4 linked regions of the Saccharomyces cerevisiae S288C genome follow. The protein of the gene in region 3 binds, or shares a complex with, the protein of the main gene of each other region. Links are inferred from orthologs where the notes say so. Each region holds a gene or a part of one and is shown on either strand. Other genes may lie near its edges. The genes, in order: COG4, COG5, COG7 and COG6.

Evidence for each region.
Region 1: COG7 (region 3) and COG4 share a complex: the UniProt entries of both Saccharomyces cerevisiae proteins name them as parts of the conserved oligomeric Golgi (COG or Sec34/Sec35) complex.
Region 2: the proteins of COG7 (region 3) and COG5 are in contact, whole or in part, in a crystal structure (PDB 4U6U), measured with the Kluyveromyces lactis proteins. The link is inferred for Saccharomyces cerevisiae S288C from one-to-one orthologs. Residues at the interface, in XP_451390.1 of Kluyveromyces lactis: Phe16, Phe17, Asp18, Asp19, Phe21, Pro23, Gln24, Phe26, Val27, Asp28, Leu30, Leu31, Ser32, Phe34, Gln35, Leu39, Glu40, Lys43, Cys46, Ser47, Leu49, Leu50, Met53, Asp54, Tyr56, Ser57, Ile60, Thr61, Glu63, Leu64; in XP_455247.1 of Kluyveromyces lactis: Ile107, Pro110, Phe111, Arg113, Ala114, Lys116, Leu117, Gln118, Val120, Ser121, Lys123, Ile124, Gln126, Thr127, Thr128, Leu130, Leu131, Arg132, Ser134, Leu135, Val138, His139, Ser142, Asn181, Thr184, Leu185, Gln186, Leu187, Ser190, Cys191.
Region 4: COG7 (region 3) and COG6 share a complex: the UniProt entries of both Saccharomyces cerevisiae proteins name them as parts of the conserved oligomeric Golgi (COG or Sec34/Sec35) complex.

Annotation. Positions count from the first base shown.
Region 1 is NC_001148.4:736,447-741,542, forward strand, and holds COG4 (Golgi transport complex subunit COG4), read right to left. Parts: upstream 3,124-5,096; coding exon 538-3,123; downstream 1-537. Other genes in the region: putative protein kinase ISR1, read left to right, coding at 3,615-4,946; cleavage polyadenylation factor RNA-binding subunit YTH1, read right to left, coding at 4,992-5,096. UniProt on the Saccharomyces cerevisiae protein: Acts as essential component of the peripheral membrane COG complex that is involved in intra-Golgi protein trafficking.
Region 2 is NC_001146.8:530,713-534,407, reverse strand, and holds COG5 (Golgi transport complex subunit COG5), read right to left. Parts: upstream 1,750-3,695; coding exon 538-1,749; downstream 1-537. Other genes in the region: YNL050C (uncharacterized protein), read left to right, coding at 1-329; COX5A (cytochrome c oxidase subunit Va), read right to left, coding at 2,222-2,683; tyrosine/serine/threonine protein phosphatase MSG5, read right to left, coding at 2,997-3,695. UniProt on the Saccharomyces cerevisiae protein: Acts as a component of the peripheral membrane COG complex that is involved in intra-Golgi protein trafficking.
Region 3 is NC_001139.9:489,144-492,431, forward strand, and holds COG7 (Golgi transport complex subunit COG7), read right to left. Parts: upstream 1,405-3,288; coding exon 565-1,404; downstream 1-564. Other genes in the region: calcium-transporting ATPase PMC1, read left to right, coding at 1-299; RPN14 (Rpn14p), read right to left, coding at 1,560-2,813. UniProt on the Saccharomyces cerevisiae protein: Acts as a component of the peripheral membrane COG complex that is involved in intra-Golgi protein trafficking.
Region 4 is NC_001146.8:548,904-553,720, forward strand, and holds COG6 (Golgi transport complex subunit COG6), read right to left. Parts: upstream 3,085-4,817; coding exon 565-3,084; downstream 1-564. Other genes in the region: BOP3 (Bop3p), read left to right, coding at 1-387; YNL040C-A (uncharacterized protein), read right to left, coding at 3,575-3,655; YNL040W (putative alanine--tRNA ligase), read left to right, coding at 4,477-4,817. UniProt on the Saccharomyces cerevisiae protein: Acts as a component of the peripheral membrane COG complex that is involved in intra-Golgi protein trafficking.

The sequences.
Region 1 (5,096 bases), on a different chromosome or scaffold from region 3:
TTGTATAGATATGAGTGGGTTTTTGTTTTGAGCGGCTAGACGTTAAATCAGGTAAAAACCAGTACCAGGTATATTATGGTAATAAAAAAAGGAGAAAATAAAATGCTTTCAAATACAAAATTAATATTCGTGATGACCTTCTACAAGAGAAAAAAATGTGCCAATAGAAAAGTCCTATTTATCCAGCCCAGAAGATAATAGCAAATATTAATAGACTTTAAACTAACTCAAAGGATGACAAAGTTGGCCTTAGAGAAAGAGCTACTCCTTTCTTAGCTTGGTGACGGAATATATTTCAAAGGTTCCTTTGTTTATTTTTTATTAACGCTTTTAATTTTTCTTGTCTTAGTCTTCGTAATTTCCAGTTAATCGCAACGTTCAGAATGATAGTATGGCGCTATCATGTTGTGCTCTTTCATAAGAAAAATAAGAAATGTATTAACAGTCAAGAGTATGCAGAAAAGGTACAACAGCCAAGATTATGTTTGCGTTTATATGAAACTACTTAGTATTCAGCTCGTAAAGCTTATGTTATATTTACTGTGTTCTATCAATCTTCATATTTCTAGCTTTAATTCTTTCCTGAGAGTTTATCACCCAATCGAAAGTACCATTGAAGTCATCCTTGATATCACCTGTAGTCAAATCAAAATTGTCATCATCTAAACCGAGAAGCAACACGATTTGTGTCAATTTCAAGAACTTCTCTCTGAGATTATAGTTCAAGCCACACATATTGCCGATGAAAAGGCTCAGTTCTCTATCTAATTTCGTAACACCAAGTTCATTGAATTCTAGAGTCCATATTCTTTGCTCCAATGTTGTTACGATGTAGTCGACTATGACAGATAGCAACTCTGCATATGCTTCGTTGTGAAGAATATTTTTGTAAGGGATAATCAATTGGTTCCATTTGCTATTGAAACTGTTAATTTGCGACAAATCTTCGAAATCTTCTATGCTTGTGATGTAATTCTTTTGGTTCGAACCTGCAGAATAATCGCGAGACACATTTTTTTGATTGGACGTTGAGGAATTTGATGAGGCTGAATTAACAAAAACAGTTCCCAATAAGTTCCGAACCCTATTTTGTAGGATATTTTGGAACAAGTATTTGACAGCCCATTTGCTTAGCTTATCTGTTTGTTCCAGGACTAATTTTTCTGAGTTTATAATTAAATTCTGTAACTGCGCTGCATCATTGTCAAAAGGGAAATTGTCTCTCAAAATCCTTTGCGAATCGTCTTCTAATATTTCTATGGATAACAGCCTGTGAACGTATACTTTACTCAAGTACAACGTGTTCAGATATATCAAATAATGGTGCAACGCAAGAATGGAATCCTCGTCCTCTGCAACTACGGCTTGTAAATTTGATTGAATATTTGTCAAAGCGCTAGCTGCTGCCCCTCTAAAAGTGAACCTGCTTAGCGGAGAAAACTTATTTGCAGGTGGAGAAACCGATCTTGATGTTGCAGATTGCTCCTCACCTTTTGGAATGTATCTTTTCAAAGATACATTGGAGGCTAGTTTCGATTGTAGTAACTTAAATTTGTTTTGCATAAATTTTACCAGAAATCGGTTCTGAAAAAATTTTACCAACTCGTTCAAAAAACTTGCTAAGAGCTTAAACTGGCCAGTATTAACCACTGATATCAGATTTTTCCGAACTAATAAAATTAAGTCATCTAAAACAGATGTTACAGGGTATGAAATGTTATCGTGGTCATTGAGGGGAACAGCAGTTATAAGATCGTTCAGTGACGGTAATTCTTCTAGTGAAATACTATTTCTAAATGATCTCTGCAGATGGTTCAACACAAACACCTGAAACTCATCAAAGACCTTATCTTGCTTTAACTTTAAGGCAAATTTACCATCTGCTATTGGTGGAGGTGGTTGCAATACATGCGGATGCAAATCGCTAAATTCATTCCATTTAACTGAATAAAATCTAGAATACATGGACCAATTTTGAAGTATTTGAGAAAATTCCATTATCAATAATGCCAAGTCATGAATGGATATAATTGAGCTCTTTTCCGTTTCTCCGTCTGTTTCGATATCCGACTGATTACTGTCTATATTCACATCTTCATTCTTTTGTGAATGTTCCCATTCATTTATATCATGTATAGTCCTTTCTATTTTCCTCGTCTCCATAAAAATATCTAGAATCAAACTAGCTTGAAGATCAGCTTCTTTTTCTACTTTTTCCATGACATGCACCATGTGCTTTTTTCCATAACACGTGGCGATGACTTTTGAATGATCATTTATAATGGTCGATACAATTTTAAAAAGATGTAACAGTACTTGTGAAAAAAATCCTTGAAACTTGGTGCTGTTTTCCATAGAATTCGACATAATTTTCCTGCTTTCGTCCGCAATAATATCACAGACATATTTGGAATACAGGTCTAAACCAAGTACGTCCTGCCCAATCATAGGGAACATTTTGAACATTAAGGTTAGCTCTTTAATATCCTGTGTTCTTGTTGCTTCCATGAATTGCTCCTGAAATAAACTTGTCAGTTCCTTACACCAATTCTTTATTAGTATAGCTGGTTCTTCGGGAATTTCACTCGAGGGCACAACTTTCTTGGCAAACTCGGATACAATAAGTTTTTTATCCGGAAGGCTTCTAATTTCATTGATTGCTGTCGCAGCAACTAAGTAATCCTTTGTTTCTAAAGCAGAATGCGCCAGTGAAATATTATTCTTTAGCGTCCTGACGTCTTTTACAAATTGTAACGTTTTGTTGACCAAAGCGCGTTCCTGATCTACAGTTTCAATATCGTCATGTATAGCTTTTGCTCTTGCGTTCGAAGAAGAAATGGTGGCCACAGTCTCATGAAACTGAGTCAAAGTAGTCGTAAGGTTAGTTCTTTGCAATTCTAATTTCCGGGACTCTTTGTTGAGCGATGATTGCGACTGTTGCACAAATGCATTTAATTGTTTAGATTGTTTTGCGTAATCATTGGCTATCACTTCAGACAGCTTGTCTATTTGAGATAGTGTCGATAATTTGTCTAATAACAAGGTGTACCTTGCTAGATTTTTAGACAATTGGCCCTCGATGATCGAGCTCTCCCATGATGCATTCGATTTTTGCCCTTCCATCAAAACTTCACCCTTTTAGAGCCTGACAATACAGTATCGTTAGTTTGCGCTACTTCGCTGTCCCAACGAATTTGGTTTGTTTTCTATGTTCTATCTCTATCCCACACTTTTTTCACAATTCCTTTACAGGCGAAAATTCAAAAAAGTGACGTAAATGGAGTTCTAAAAGCTAAAGCAACAAGTTAATAAGGTTAGAAGATCGTAAATGTGTTTCAAAAGTTGCTTACCTCCTTCACTATATCTCAGCTGCTTGTATAGCCTATGACGAAAATTTATGTTCCCTAGCAAGGATATAATGTGTCAATCAACATGATCGCAAACCAGCTAGATTGTGATGTATGGGTCTATCTTATTGTTTATTTTGACTAGCATTGAATAAACAAAAAGCGCTGCTAATAGATTCTTGCCTTTATATAACGGGGATCTAACCTCATCAACAGCAAAAATCGTCTTAAAACACATCTCAAAGACTAGTTCTCAAACGTCACGCTATGAACAGTACACCTCCTACGTCACCCGTCACCAGGGTTTCTGATGGTTCCTTTCCATCCATAAGTAACAATAGTAAGGGTTTTGCTTATCGCCAACCGCAAAAACATAAAAGTAACTTCGCATATTCACATCTGGTATCTCCTGTAGAGGAGCCGACAGCTAAATTCAGTGAGGCATTCCAGACAGATTATTCTAGTAAGGCGCCCGTTGCTACCTCGGAGGCGCACCTAAAGAACGATTTAGACGTATTGTTCACTACCCCCCGGTTTTACTCTCCGGAGAATTTGGCTTTAATGTTCCGTCTTTCTAATACAGTTTCTTCCCTAGAATTTCTGGATGAGTTTTTGATGGGCATATTACTTGCTCCAGAGATGGATTTTTTGTCAAATCCAAGTTATTCTCTTCCGTCTAACAAATTAGTGGGACAGGGAAGTTATTCATATGTGTACCCTATATCATCAAGTGCTTCATCAAGATGTAACAACGATTCAGGGGTTGTTTTAAAGTTTGCCAAATCACAGCATAAAAGCAAGGTGATTTTACAGGAAGCTTTGACGCTAGCATATCTCCAGTACATGAGTCCTTCAACCAATGAAAGTCATATTATTCCATTCTATGGGTTGACATACATAACTAAATCCCATTTTAGAAGACTGAGGTCCAACGAATGTGTTCCTGGCCTTATTCTTCCGAAATGCGAAATGAGTTTATATCACTTCAATACAGCAGTGTCACATAAGCTTTCGTTGATAACAAAAAGAAAAATATGGTGGAGACTTATGAAGCAAATGATAGACGCATTAAAATCTTTGAAAACAAATGGTATAATTCATGGTGATATAAAAACAGCAAATATTTTAATAACAGAAATGCATGTTCTTAATGGAGGCCATTGTAAGGATTTTGACTTCTACCTTGCTGACTTTACGTCGGCATTTCACATTAATCAAACACCAACAGATCTGAATACCACGGTAGAATACTGTGCACCAGAACTAATTGATAGCTCCTCCGATCATGTTCCTACATTTGAATCGGATTTGTATGCCGTGGGGCTTTGTCTTTTATCATTTATATCGCAGCATGAGCCTTACAACGAACTTCAGGCGTTAGTGTCGCATGGATCCTCTCCAGGTATTGGCAGTTCATCTATACAGCAGTCCCAATGGCTGATAAATGCTCTTTTGAAAAAAGATCCTATAAATCTAAACATGTTAAGAAACGATTTATTCCAGGATTGGAAGTCAGAACTAGCATTATTGTCCAGAATTCTGGTTGATAGACTTCCTCTAGAAAATCTCATAACTATACTCGATAGTAACTATATATGATAATATACATGTCTATGAAATCGAAAACCCCCAGCCATGCATAGATCAAACTTCACCGTTTATAATTGCGTTTAAACGCCTTTCCTTTTCTTCATCCATTTTCCTGGTATTTATCTCATCGTCTCTCTTAATTCTTAATTTACTACCTTC
Region 2 (3,695 bases), on a different chromosome or scaffold from region 3:
GTACAAAAATTCTGGAGGATGATCTACGTATTCGTGATAAATGGCCATATTGCCAGGGTCGAATAATAGATCTGTATAAGCACAATGCGAGAATAGAGTTAGAGCAGCAGAAGGAATTGAAGATTAAAAAGAGGAGACCTGGTCAAAAGCAACGTGCAGCCAAAAAACTGGCACTTGAAAGAACCAAGGAGCGTGATACCAAAGCTCGTGAGATAAAGAAACAGTTGAAGAAAAAGTTTCATAAGCGTGGTGGAAAGAAAAACAAAAAAAAGGTACCTTTGAACCCACTGGCAAAAGCTGGCAGTACCCCTAAGTTTAGGACAGAATGACCACGTAAATGTATATATATACATATTAATACTTCATATAAACTAACCGATATTGGATTTCTCATAATAACTATTACTAGTATAATCTTTAATAATATAAACAAATATTACATTTCATGTAATTTTTATTAAACATATGCACATGCTATTGAAAATTGCTTTAGATTCATCCTATTTCATCAACATTCTTAATTTTATGTAAACTGTCTCACTTATTTAGAGAAATAGATACTGAGTTTAGCATTACATCCAAGTAGCTTTGGTAATCACTATTATCAGAAGATTTTTTCATACTTTGCTTCATAGTGTTTATAATAAAATCTTTATTTTTTAACAGCGACTTGCCCACAGGGCCTCCTCTATTAACAGATATATCAAAGTCCTTTTTGAAGGCAGATGAAACTTTGCTCCAAAACAGATCTCTCGGTGTACCAGAACCTGCTTTACTCTTCATTGAGGTATATTCTGATAAAAGATTGCCAAGGCGTGATTTATTAGCAGCAATAGATCTCGAGGAATTCGTAACATTATCCGTTTTGATGTTCTGTAGTAGTGTTTCTAAAATGTAGATGTTATAACCTTTTTCAACAACTTCATTGAACGCATCAGGAAACATCCTGATAGAATTTAAAATTTTTGATAGGATTTGTGAGCTCATTGTAACATTAGATAGTACAATCTTGTTTATTGCAGACTCGAATTCTTGAGATGAAAGTAGATATAAGGAGTAGGCCAGCTGAGATATTATTTCTTTGTTCGATTTGATTTTAATAGAGTTCAAGCACTCTTTACACATTTGTAAAGACAAAAATGTTATTAACTCTCTTTTGTTGGGGGAAACAATGTCCTGATCTAATTGTTTAATTTTCCGCAAGGATTTTAGATTTTTATTTTCTTCCAAAGTAATTTCAAGTTGGTAGTGTAAGGAGGCTAAATTAATAGCTGTTGATGTGCTTAGTTGGGCTGTTTTAGACAGTGCGTTTAATTTGTTTGATAAATGAATATAAAGCAATGCTCCGCGCAAGAGAAAAGATGTTTGGTAAACTTTACTCAACGCTAGTTGGACTTTCCTCGCTCTTTCATAAGGATCTAGAACTTGATTCTTTAGTCTATCGTACGACATATTCATATATCCCAAACTTGGTTTCAACTCACCAACTATGGTTGAATTGACGTGTTCATTTTTGTAAATTAACTCTATTATCTCCAATGGGTTGCTATTCATCAATTGGTCTATTCTAGAGTCAATCTCATGTAGATCATAGTTTAGCTTTTTAAGAGGCGTGTTAAGGTCTAAAATGGTTGTGTCATTGTTATTAGTAGCCTTCAGTAAGTCATTACCAAATTGTTTAGCATCAAAATCAGGCTCCAGCAGAGACTCAAAATCTTCTAAATCGTTTGCCATTGGCGCTATTGTCATACCTCCAGCTCTTTTCTTCTTTTTTGTTACACATTTTTATCTTCCATATCTATTCTAGTTGATTTTTTTTTTTTCATAGTATTCAACCAAATGGAGAAGTTTTTAAGAAATACGTCTTTGAAAGGGAGGCATAGAATAACAAGGTAAACCCATTTATACAGGATTCCCTCATACTATATTAGCTTATTTCATTCCAGGGGGGTTCCCTTAAATATAAGAATAATAAGAATAATGATATAAAATTATATGTCTAACAAAAAATTACAAAATTTGAGTAAATAAATAAAGAAAAAATGTGAGAGTGGCAATCAGCCAATTTTATGTTTGATATGTTGGCATTGTATTGGGCGGATGCCCATGGATACACTTATAATGTAATAAGATATTCACTTTCGTACAGGTCACAGACTAGCTGAAAAAACCATGACAATCGTTAACCCCTATTGATTTCCTTTCAAAATTTCTGGCCTGTTCATTTAGATTGGACCTGAGAATAACCACCCCAAGGATTAGCATTCTTCGACTTCAAATATTCGTCACTCTTTAGCTGCCACTCCTTATTCATGGTCTTTGCGTCTTGGCCACCCGCCATCCTGACGACAGCAAAAAGTCCCACTGAAAATAGTAGGCCTGCAGCAACACCTTTGGCAATAAAACTGGAATCACCCTTATTCAATACAGGTCTTCTTGGGCCCCATTCTCCGTAAGAAATGTACCACACAGCTTGCTTTTCAGGCTCAGTAAGCTGTGCCCATGGTAATTTTTGACGTTCACTCAACTTACTGACAATATCCTGCTGCTCAGTGGAGGGCATGTTCTCCCATCTGGATTGCAGATCCATTACAGCAGCGTTGGAAAGAGCATGTGTTTGAGCGAATCTTACGGATGTAATACGTGATAGTCCACCAGCTCTAGTAAAAGTGTTACGTAACATTGTAGATGCGTTCTTAGTTGATCTTGTGTTTGGTGCATTGCTTGCAAACAGAAGACAAAATACGAGGACTGATGGTTCTTATTTAATTGATTGTTCTTTTTAACTTTTCGCCGCCGCTTGTATCGGCGCAAAACGTAGGGCCAATCACAAACGAGGAAAACGTCTATTGGACGATTTTTGCAATGTGACACTTACAATGATGAATAATTACTATGTAGGCAGAAGTGCTAAGTACATTCTATTTAGAAGCGTAGGGAGGCGGTCTGCCTGCAGATCTGATAGTCATAAAGATTCTTTTGGGAGATGCTGTCCCTTAAGGAAGAAACATCATCTGTTCCGGGGCAGTAGATATTGATTCGTTGTCCACAGAAGCTTCCAGTGAATCTGCGGGTTGAGACAAACTTTTACAGTGCTCATCATCTTCCCCGCGTTCTGTGGCCAGTGCGGTCCTTGCTCCAGTCAACGTAGCAGGAGTTCTTGGCGTTACTTCCGAAGAATTGACAGAACTGTCATTCGGCGACGATGATAGATTCGTTACCATGGGAAAACTTCTAAAGGACGCAGAAGAGTAGGACTTCGTAGTCGAGGAAACTTCGTTGTTTCCGATGTCATCTTCCTCAGGCATGTGAACAGTCTCTCCTTCTTCGCCCGGTGAGTTCTTGGACAACATGGTTCCCCATTCCATAAGTTGGAAGATGAGACCCATGTTTGGACTTATATCCTTAGCAACACCTTTCAGCTTATTGTATGCATCATTTAAACTCAAGCCATAATATCGCATGATATACGCCACAATCAATGACGCCGATCTTGATACTCCACACTGACAGTGTACGAGTATTTTCTTGCCTTGCGAATGAGCGGTATGTATAATGCGTGTCAATCGGGATAAGTCCTTGACGATCTTGGATGTGTGTGTCCATTCAATATGGTAATATTTTATTTTATGTGCCATTTCCGGCGGTATTAAAAACTCCAGGTTCGGTATTTCTTTGGCAACATTAATGACTAA
Region 3 (3,288 bases):
TTGGCAGCTGTCAAGTTTTAATCATGTTTTTTGGTGGCGCACCATTTTCTATTGCCAGACAAACCAAATCAATGTGGATAACCGCGGTACTGTGTGGTATGTTGTCTCTAATCATGGGGGTGCTAGTGAGAATCTGCCCCGATGAAGTAGCAGTGAAGGTATTTCCGGCTGCTTTCGTTCAAAGATTCAAGTACGTATTTGGACTCGAGTTCCTCAGAAAAAACCATACTGGAAAACACGACGATGAAGAAGCGCTGTTGGAGGAATCTGATAGTCCAGAGTCCACCGCCTTTTATTAATAGACGCGCTCTATATGTTTATACAAATGTAAGTGACCAAATGAAAAGATGTGTGTAATAGTTATATTTTCAAAATTGTACACTATATTATATAATCAATAAAAAGAAACTATCTGAAATAGCATGTCCTCCTAAACAAATTCCTTTTTACCCTTTTATGCATTACAAGTGGACCAAAAGGACTGGAAATGGTAAAAAGAAATAAGAATTTAAACATGCTATAAATTTCTTTTGTTAATTGCAAATTTTTTGTTTTTATCACCGATTATGATATCATACCATCGTCAATATTCTTGGTTGATAAATAACTTTGTGCTTTTGATTTTATGCTCTCCGAAAAGTTGCTATACTCAGCAAAGAACTTATCTAGGCCTTTAAACAGACATTTCAGTTCAGAAAGTGAATCAATTCTCCCAATCAAATCCTTGTTTGTTTCATCTTTAGCCTCGTTATCAATCGCAGAGCTTAAAGATTCATCGATTGTATCCTCTAATGCTTTCAATGATGTTCTAAAATCTGTTATCGAAAGATCTGTCCCCGTGCTGGTTGTATTATTTTCTCTAACTGTCGAAATATTCGTAACGGTCCTAACTTGTTCCAGGTAATATACCACTTTTTCAATTCTCTCCTTAATCAACATTAAACTTTGCAGTTGTTGCCTCACATTGGTATTGCGATTATTTTCGTTATCTAGATCGCTTAGTTTCTCAGTTACATTATGCATTCCTGTTTCTAATGCTCTTACAGCACTTGCCAACGTATCTAAGTAATATTCAAGCTTCGATGATTTTAAGGATTCAGTAGAATACAATGAGGAATCGTTCTGTTCTGCTTCTTTGTGATACCTAGAAGATGCCCAAGTTCTTGGTAACGTTTGAGATAATTTATCCAAATTCCATATGGTGCTTTCCAACTCTTTTGTAAGGTTCTTTGTGTAAAAATCCAACCTGGTTAATAGCAATGAGGATACTGATTGCGTTTGAATCTGATCTTCGTTTAAGGCATTTGATAAGAGTATATCAACGAATGCATGGGGAACGAACTCCTCATCAAAAAACATACTCAATATATCATCATCATCACCCGTAATTGTCAACTCTACCATATTCTGCTTAGTTTGGCCTTCTTGTTCTTAGTGAATTGTTCTATTTTAGACATATTTCATATGGAAATAAAATGCATTATCACCCTCAAAGCGCATTACGCCAAGCTCATGCAGCGAAGTGAACTTTTTTGAAAAAGTTACTAGTACGAAAGAGGTTAAGGATTACTTAAGTTATACAAAGCGCAGAAGTTGTTTTTTCCAACTTCAAGCACCTCCCCATTTGATTCATCATCAGAAACGTAACAGAATTGGCTGACCTCATCGTCATTGGAAACTAAAAAGGTGGGCGTCTCAAATTCAATAGCGGGCCGTTCACTTTCTGGGTCTGAAATAATGTCAAGCTTAATACTGGTGTCGAATCCAGAAGATACAAATAAGGCTCCGGCTGCAAAGTAGACATTGTTTATTGGGGTGCCTTCATTAATTAAAAACTCACCAACTGGGCATTCCGGTGATCTTAGATCCCATTGAGCTAGCATTCCATTTTCATATCCGGCATAAATATAGTTTGCATTATTGCCATCGACTGTCAATGAATTACATGAACATGTGAACTTGCTTGGGAGTTGAATAGTTTGCTCTTTGGAAAATACATTATGTACAGTAATAACACCAGAAACGTGACCAGCAATCACATATTTTCCATATGTTCCAAACTCTAGATTATTTTTCTTGGAAGTAGAAATTTCATGTAATTGTCTGTCTGTCCCTACGAACAGCGCTATGCTGTTAACACCATCATGCGGGTTTTCTTTTCTGTTAAACGTGTGAATTGTCGTTCCTGTGCCGCACTCCCAAAGGCGAATTGTACCATCCAAAGAGGCAGAGAGCACATTCCTTCCTCGGTCTATTATGGCAATATCTGTGACTGTCGCCCTGTGTCCAATTAACGTGCGAGGATTTGAGCCGTCTTTTACTGACCAGATCTTTAATTGCATATCCTGTGAACTAGATATCAAAGCTTCACCGCTTGGAAAAAACTTTAGTTTTGTTATTTCACTAACGTGAGCTTGGTCAATTTCTCTTTGAAGGTTGAAATTTGAATCCAATACTTTAATATCGCCTTCTGTAGTGCCTAATATGAACCGTCTCATCTGAAGTTTAGCTGTGTCTACGGCAGTATAATCCGCCCTCTTGAGCATCTTTGAACCATCTCTTATGATAGTATTGAATAAAAAATCATGTCCATCCAACCGCGCCTTGTATAAGTGGGAGCCAACCTTTTCAAATGTATTTCCTTTGCCTGCATCTACACCCCTGCTATTTCCTAACACTACTATCTTATGCTCCTTGATTTCATTTAGGTTTTTGTCAACATTGATGTAAAATTCATCGTCATTTTCATCATTTTCTTCCAGAACAGCTTTAAAATCATACTGGATATGAGCAACTGTGATGGTCTTAGTCATTGTCGTTTCTATTGTACTTCGCTATTTCTTTTTACTTTCTGCTCTTAGGGTTGAAAACTTAATTTTTCGAAGCTTCTTTTGCCGATTTCTAGATTATTCGCCCATCCTGACGCCTGTAATATGTCATGTTAAAAACATCACAAAAGTTAATAAGGTTAACTGAGCCTTATTCCCAAATCCTGACAAGGACAAATGCCATTTTTAATGTGCAAGAAAAAGGTTCCATCCAGTTTTCTAATAACTGGATGACGAAATTTTAACGGAACTTATTAACCGTCTCTTTTTATATTGTTACGTATTTTGTATGCTTGGTAGGTACGTTACCTTAGTACATAAGTGTTATCGTTAAAATCTTCTCACTGAAACAATTGAACTAATCAACCGACCTTGTTAGATGAGTGAGGTGTAAGTAGAACTATATGAACTACTGGGCATTCGCAACAACACCATCAGATATACTAGTACACTTTTTTTT
Region 4 (4,817 bases), on a different chromosome or scaffold from region 3:
CAACAGCAACAGGATCTCCACACGCACAATTTACATACTATACCAAGGAAACCTGGAATGGTTCAAAAAAAGCATAGGCGTGCAAGATCCACATCCTCCTTTGGAGTGATCGATTTAAGTATTATCGATGAAGCAAAAGAAAAACAAGTACAGAGATCACCATCCCCTATACATTCTAACGTGTCCGTAGCACTTACCTCACATGACAAACCAATTGAATCCAATATGAAGGAACAACCAAATATGCTGCAATCGGTTCGTGAAGGACGTCAAGTACACGATGACTTGGATGACAGAACATGCAGTGAAAGCAGTAGTAGAAACGAAAGCCCCGTAAGAACCATCACAAAGGATAATTCTGTAGGCAAGATTTTAAATAGTACTTGAGTGATCATTATTTTCTTTTTGATGTTCCCCCTACGTATGTATACACCCATATATTATATAGATACCCGCCGCATACCAACATAAAAAAGGTAACAAATATTTGAGATATAGAGCATCGCTACATTATGGGCAAGATGCGTCTTTGTGAGACGATTTTAAACAGAAGTTGTTCATCTCTCAGTGATCAATACCTATCAACATGTCAAATTCATCAGTGGAAAAATTTAAAATTTCGAATACCTGATCCTTCTTGTTCGGATACAAATGAATCAACAGTTTCCTGAAGATATTATAAAATAGCGACAACTTCTTGAAACATTCATCGCATATTTCATCAGCTATCATTGGTGACGTTAATTTAAATAGTAAATTACCTTGAACATCTGTTAACGCCTGAGGTAGATAATAGTTCAACTTATCATGCACATTTTTTCTGACCATGTCTAATTCCATCAATGAATTATCCCTCAGGGCTAAGTACATATCATAATCCAATTCATCCTTTACTGAGTCCACAGGAAAAATCATATTGACCAAATTGCTGTAAAGGTCTAAACCTGTATTCTCAAATAGGAATTTTATTTGTAAAGTTAGCATTTGCTTAGTATATTCCTTCAGTTTATCACAAACCCAGATGGTGATTTTCCGGCTGTCATCATCTTGTGCAAACAATCCCTCAAAAGGTTGAAGTCTAGATTTAATTAAATCGAAACAGTTTATCTCTATAGTTAGCAATGATGCCTTTTCTTTTTCATTTTTTTTCGCCAAAGGAAAAGATGTTTGCAATTGTTTTAACAGAACATCTTTTATTGGTTGTTCTACAATTGTTTGTAAATTCTTAGATGAGAGCAATTTATTATCTTCTGATTCCTCATCTTCGGCAGCATGTGTCTTTTCATAAATTTCAAATAACTCTACCAATTTATTCATATACTCTGATAGCCACTCTGGTGGCAGTAAATCATCTGAAGAATTTTTTGTTTCCGCCATGACTGTTTGCTTCATATAGTCTTCATAGTATCCAATAATTCTGTTTTTGGAAATGTCTTCCAACGACTTTAAATTGTTAATAATAGAACTATCGTCCTGAATTCCCTTTCTCTCGAACATAACTCTGTAAAGTTTCAGCAGCCTCACAATCTCGAAATTGATGATCGGATTTTCTTCAAACCTCACGATTTGCTCGATACGAATACGACACGAATTGGATAGCGACTGGATGATATCGTTCAGCAATTTGTTGTCGATGCCTTTCAAGAATGTCTTGTTTTGTTGAAGTATAGAAATTGGGGTATCTTTTAAGTCTTCATCCTGAAAGTCAAATAGTGACTTCACGAAATCAGCTTCATTTGCGATGATGGAATGAACGGACGCTAGTACGTCACCAATATACCTAATTGGATCGTGTGCCGATAATATGATGGGTTTAGAGGTAGTTGAATTCATATCGAATTGAGACAAAAACTCATCCAGAATACTCTTGGATCTCAGTGTGGTCACTCTTTTCAACAACTCATTAAATAATTCTAGATCACTTGACAGGAAGACCAGACTCTTCCGAAAAATGTTTAAGCTTTCTTGTTCAGTAGTACCATGGTCATTTAATAAATTTGAAGAGGATTCAAAACTATATAAAAAATCGATCAAATAATTGAAGATTTTTTTGTTTGTCTTTTCTAAAATTTCATTAACTCCCATTATCAAAGCATTTCCAGCATTCAAATTAGGAAGCGTCAGCAAGAAACTTGATTCATCTTTAATATTGATTACTTTCTTTACTACCTCGAAAAAGATGTTGTCTATAGTACCATTGGTGATTACATCGTCCTCTACCTGATTCAAAGTAAACCTATCCCTTATAGATAACAGTATTTTTTTTTTCAGCTTCAACTGCTCTGCCTTTAAACGGTATTGATCTATTTCCTGAAGTACCACGTTATTTGTTGGAACCTCATTTGTCTCATTACTTAGTAATTTTTCGCTCGTTCTTTGTATTTTTTCGACGGAAGAAGATAATCGTTTAATCCTTCTAATGATAGGTTTGAATTCCTCAAGTACCGTAATATGTTCCTTTAGCAGTTGAGATTCCAAATCAGTCCTCAATGCTCTTCTTGCCAAAGTACCTACATATTCAGGATTCATGAGCTTTTGTTCATCAAGGGACAATCTCTCTTTATTCTCTTCTAGAACCTTTAGGGATTTTCTTAGTTGGACTGTGGCCTGATAGTTAATCAATGTGTAATTGTTCAATATCTTGGATAGTTTATTCGAAAGAACCAAATTTGTGGTATTTTTGTTGGAACCACTTGACGGGGATACTAATTTTGATAAATCAAGGTTTTTTGGCTCGTAATTCGTGAAATTTTGAGATTCTTGCTGCGATAGTTTTTCATCCTGGGAATTTTGCCCTAATTGTTTGCTTGGATTTGAAAGCTGTATTTTATCAATGGAAGACATTGCGTAATGTGTCATTTTCTTATGTAGGTCTTTCGAACCAGCACCATCATTATCTACTGGCAAAGTTGCATTATTATTGGAATAACGTTGAAGGTCGGGCAACTTAAACTGTAGATCTAGTTTACCGGTGGGCTGTGACTGTGCATCTGAGGTTAAGTTTAGTCTTGGCTCAGGTTCTGGTAATTCTGGCGTGGCAGTATCCGCCATTGCGTAGGTCTGATAGTCTACAACGAAATCCATTGTGAGTAAACTTCACTGGGGATTTTGTTACGATAATGTACAATATACTTCAGATACTACAGCTTTCGGATGAATATTTACTAGAATGAATTACTACCTTAGATGTATATTTTGTATGAAAGCGTCATTACGCCAGTTGTATGTATTTTGTCGTCTGAGACGGCAGGTGATATATAAGTAAAATGGAAGTATAAACGAACAGAAAGCAATCATTAACAATTTACTTATAGATTTCGACTAACATACGCATCGGTAGGATTAGATACCAGTTTTTGAAATCCAATTTTTCCCTCGTATATGGAATGTGCTGAGAGTTTTCCTCAGGGATATGCGTATCAACAAAAGAGAGGTGGTAATACATGCAATCATATAGCGGTTTGTTTCTTTAATACTATATGTTGTCACTTATAATCCTGTTATATTATTGATCTTTAGGTTTCAGCTGATCCTTCTAATATCCCTCTATTGGTTTCGTAATTCGTGTTATCCTTTAAGAAGATCCTAGCGACATAATCATACTATCAACTGTTATGTTACCGTTTGGTGAACAGTTGGCTTTTTGCTCCGGCATTTTTGATTAAAAATAGGCTCTTGTTAAGCTACTGGAATTTTTCTATATTACCAGGCTACTCTTGATATGGCACCGGAATGTAATAGGAGTTACAAGACCATTTCAAGTTAAAGAAAAATTACTGGAAAAAGGGTAGTAACGTACGTGGACGAAATAAATAAGAAGGACGTAAATTTAATACAAATGCACAAGTAAAGTTATCGGCTCCTATTCTTCACTAATTCCATGCATATTAAGAACTGCTGGAATAAGAATTGACCGTTGCTTATTGACTAGTGGCCATGTTACTAGTATACCTATCACACACAATGTAAGAAAGTGACATAAGCCATGAGATACAATCTCAAATCTAGTAAAAGCCGAAATACAAGAACTGATGATGTAACAGAGTAATGCATAACAACGTGCAATGCAAAGGAAGAAATAATAGTGTTATTACGTAGGACATTGATTTCCTGTCATGACTATTATATCCTCAATGAGCGCATATAATGCATTCTGTATATTCAATAATACCACCTTATCAAATAACGAATACCATCGATTATCAGTAAATTCATGTATCACTCGCGTAAATTCTGAAATTCAGCCCACTAGGAAGACGTTTATATCAGTTTACTTTTGTACAAGTGACTTATTGCAAGCAATTTGTACGAAATATGCTTACACTTTTCATTAGTAAAAGAACCAACCACCCATCATTAACATCTTTTTATTTTTTATCCTTATCGTGTAAAAAAAACTTAAGAATAGACATCCTGGTGACGCATATCGACGAAAGCACACAACAGCGTCAAAAATTGATTAAAAGGTAAGTTATCATGCCCACACCTATGACGCCTGTCAAGGTCGGCGCTTTAGCCTGCCAGAGGAACTCATTTCTCTTCGATGGGTTCAAAACACTGGTTGTTTCTTGCGAACCAACGAAGAATAAAAAGGGAGAGATTGAAGGTTATGAGATTGAACTACAAGATACTATTCTGTTCCCCGAAGGTGGGGGCCAACCAAGTGATTCTGGTTTTTTGAAAATTGTTGAAGGGAATCGTAATTCGTCGAAAATTGAGAAGATATTAGTTTCACACGTTTCTCGTTTCGGTTTACATGCAAAGCATCATGTCAATGACTACATTGAGCCCGGAACAACAGTGGAAGTGGCCGTGGA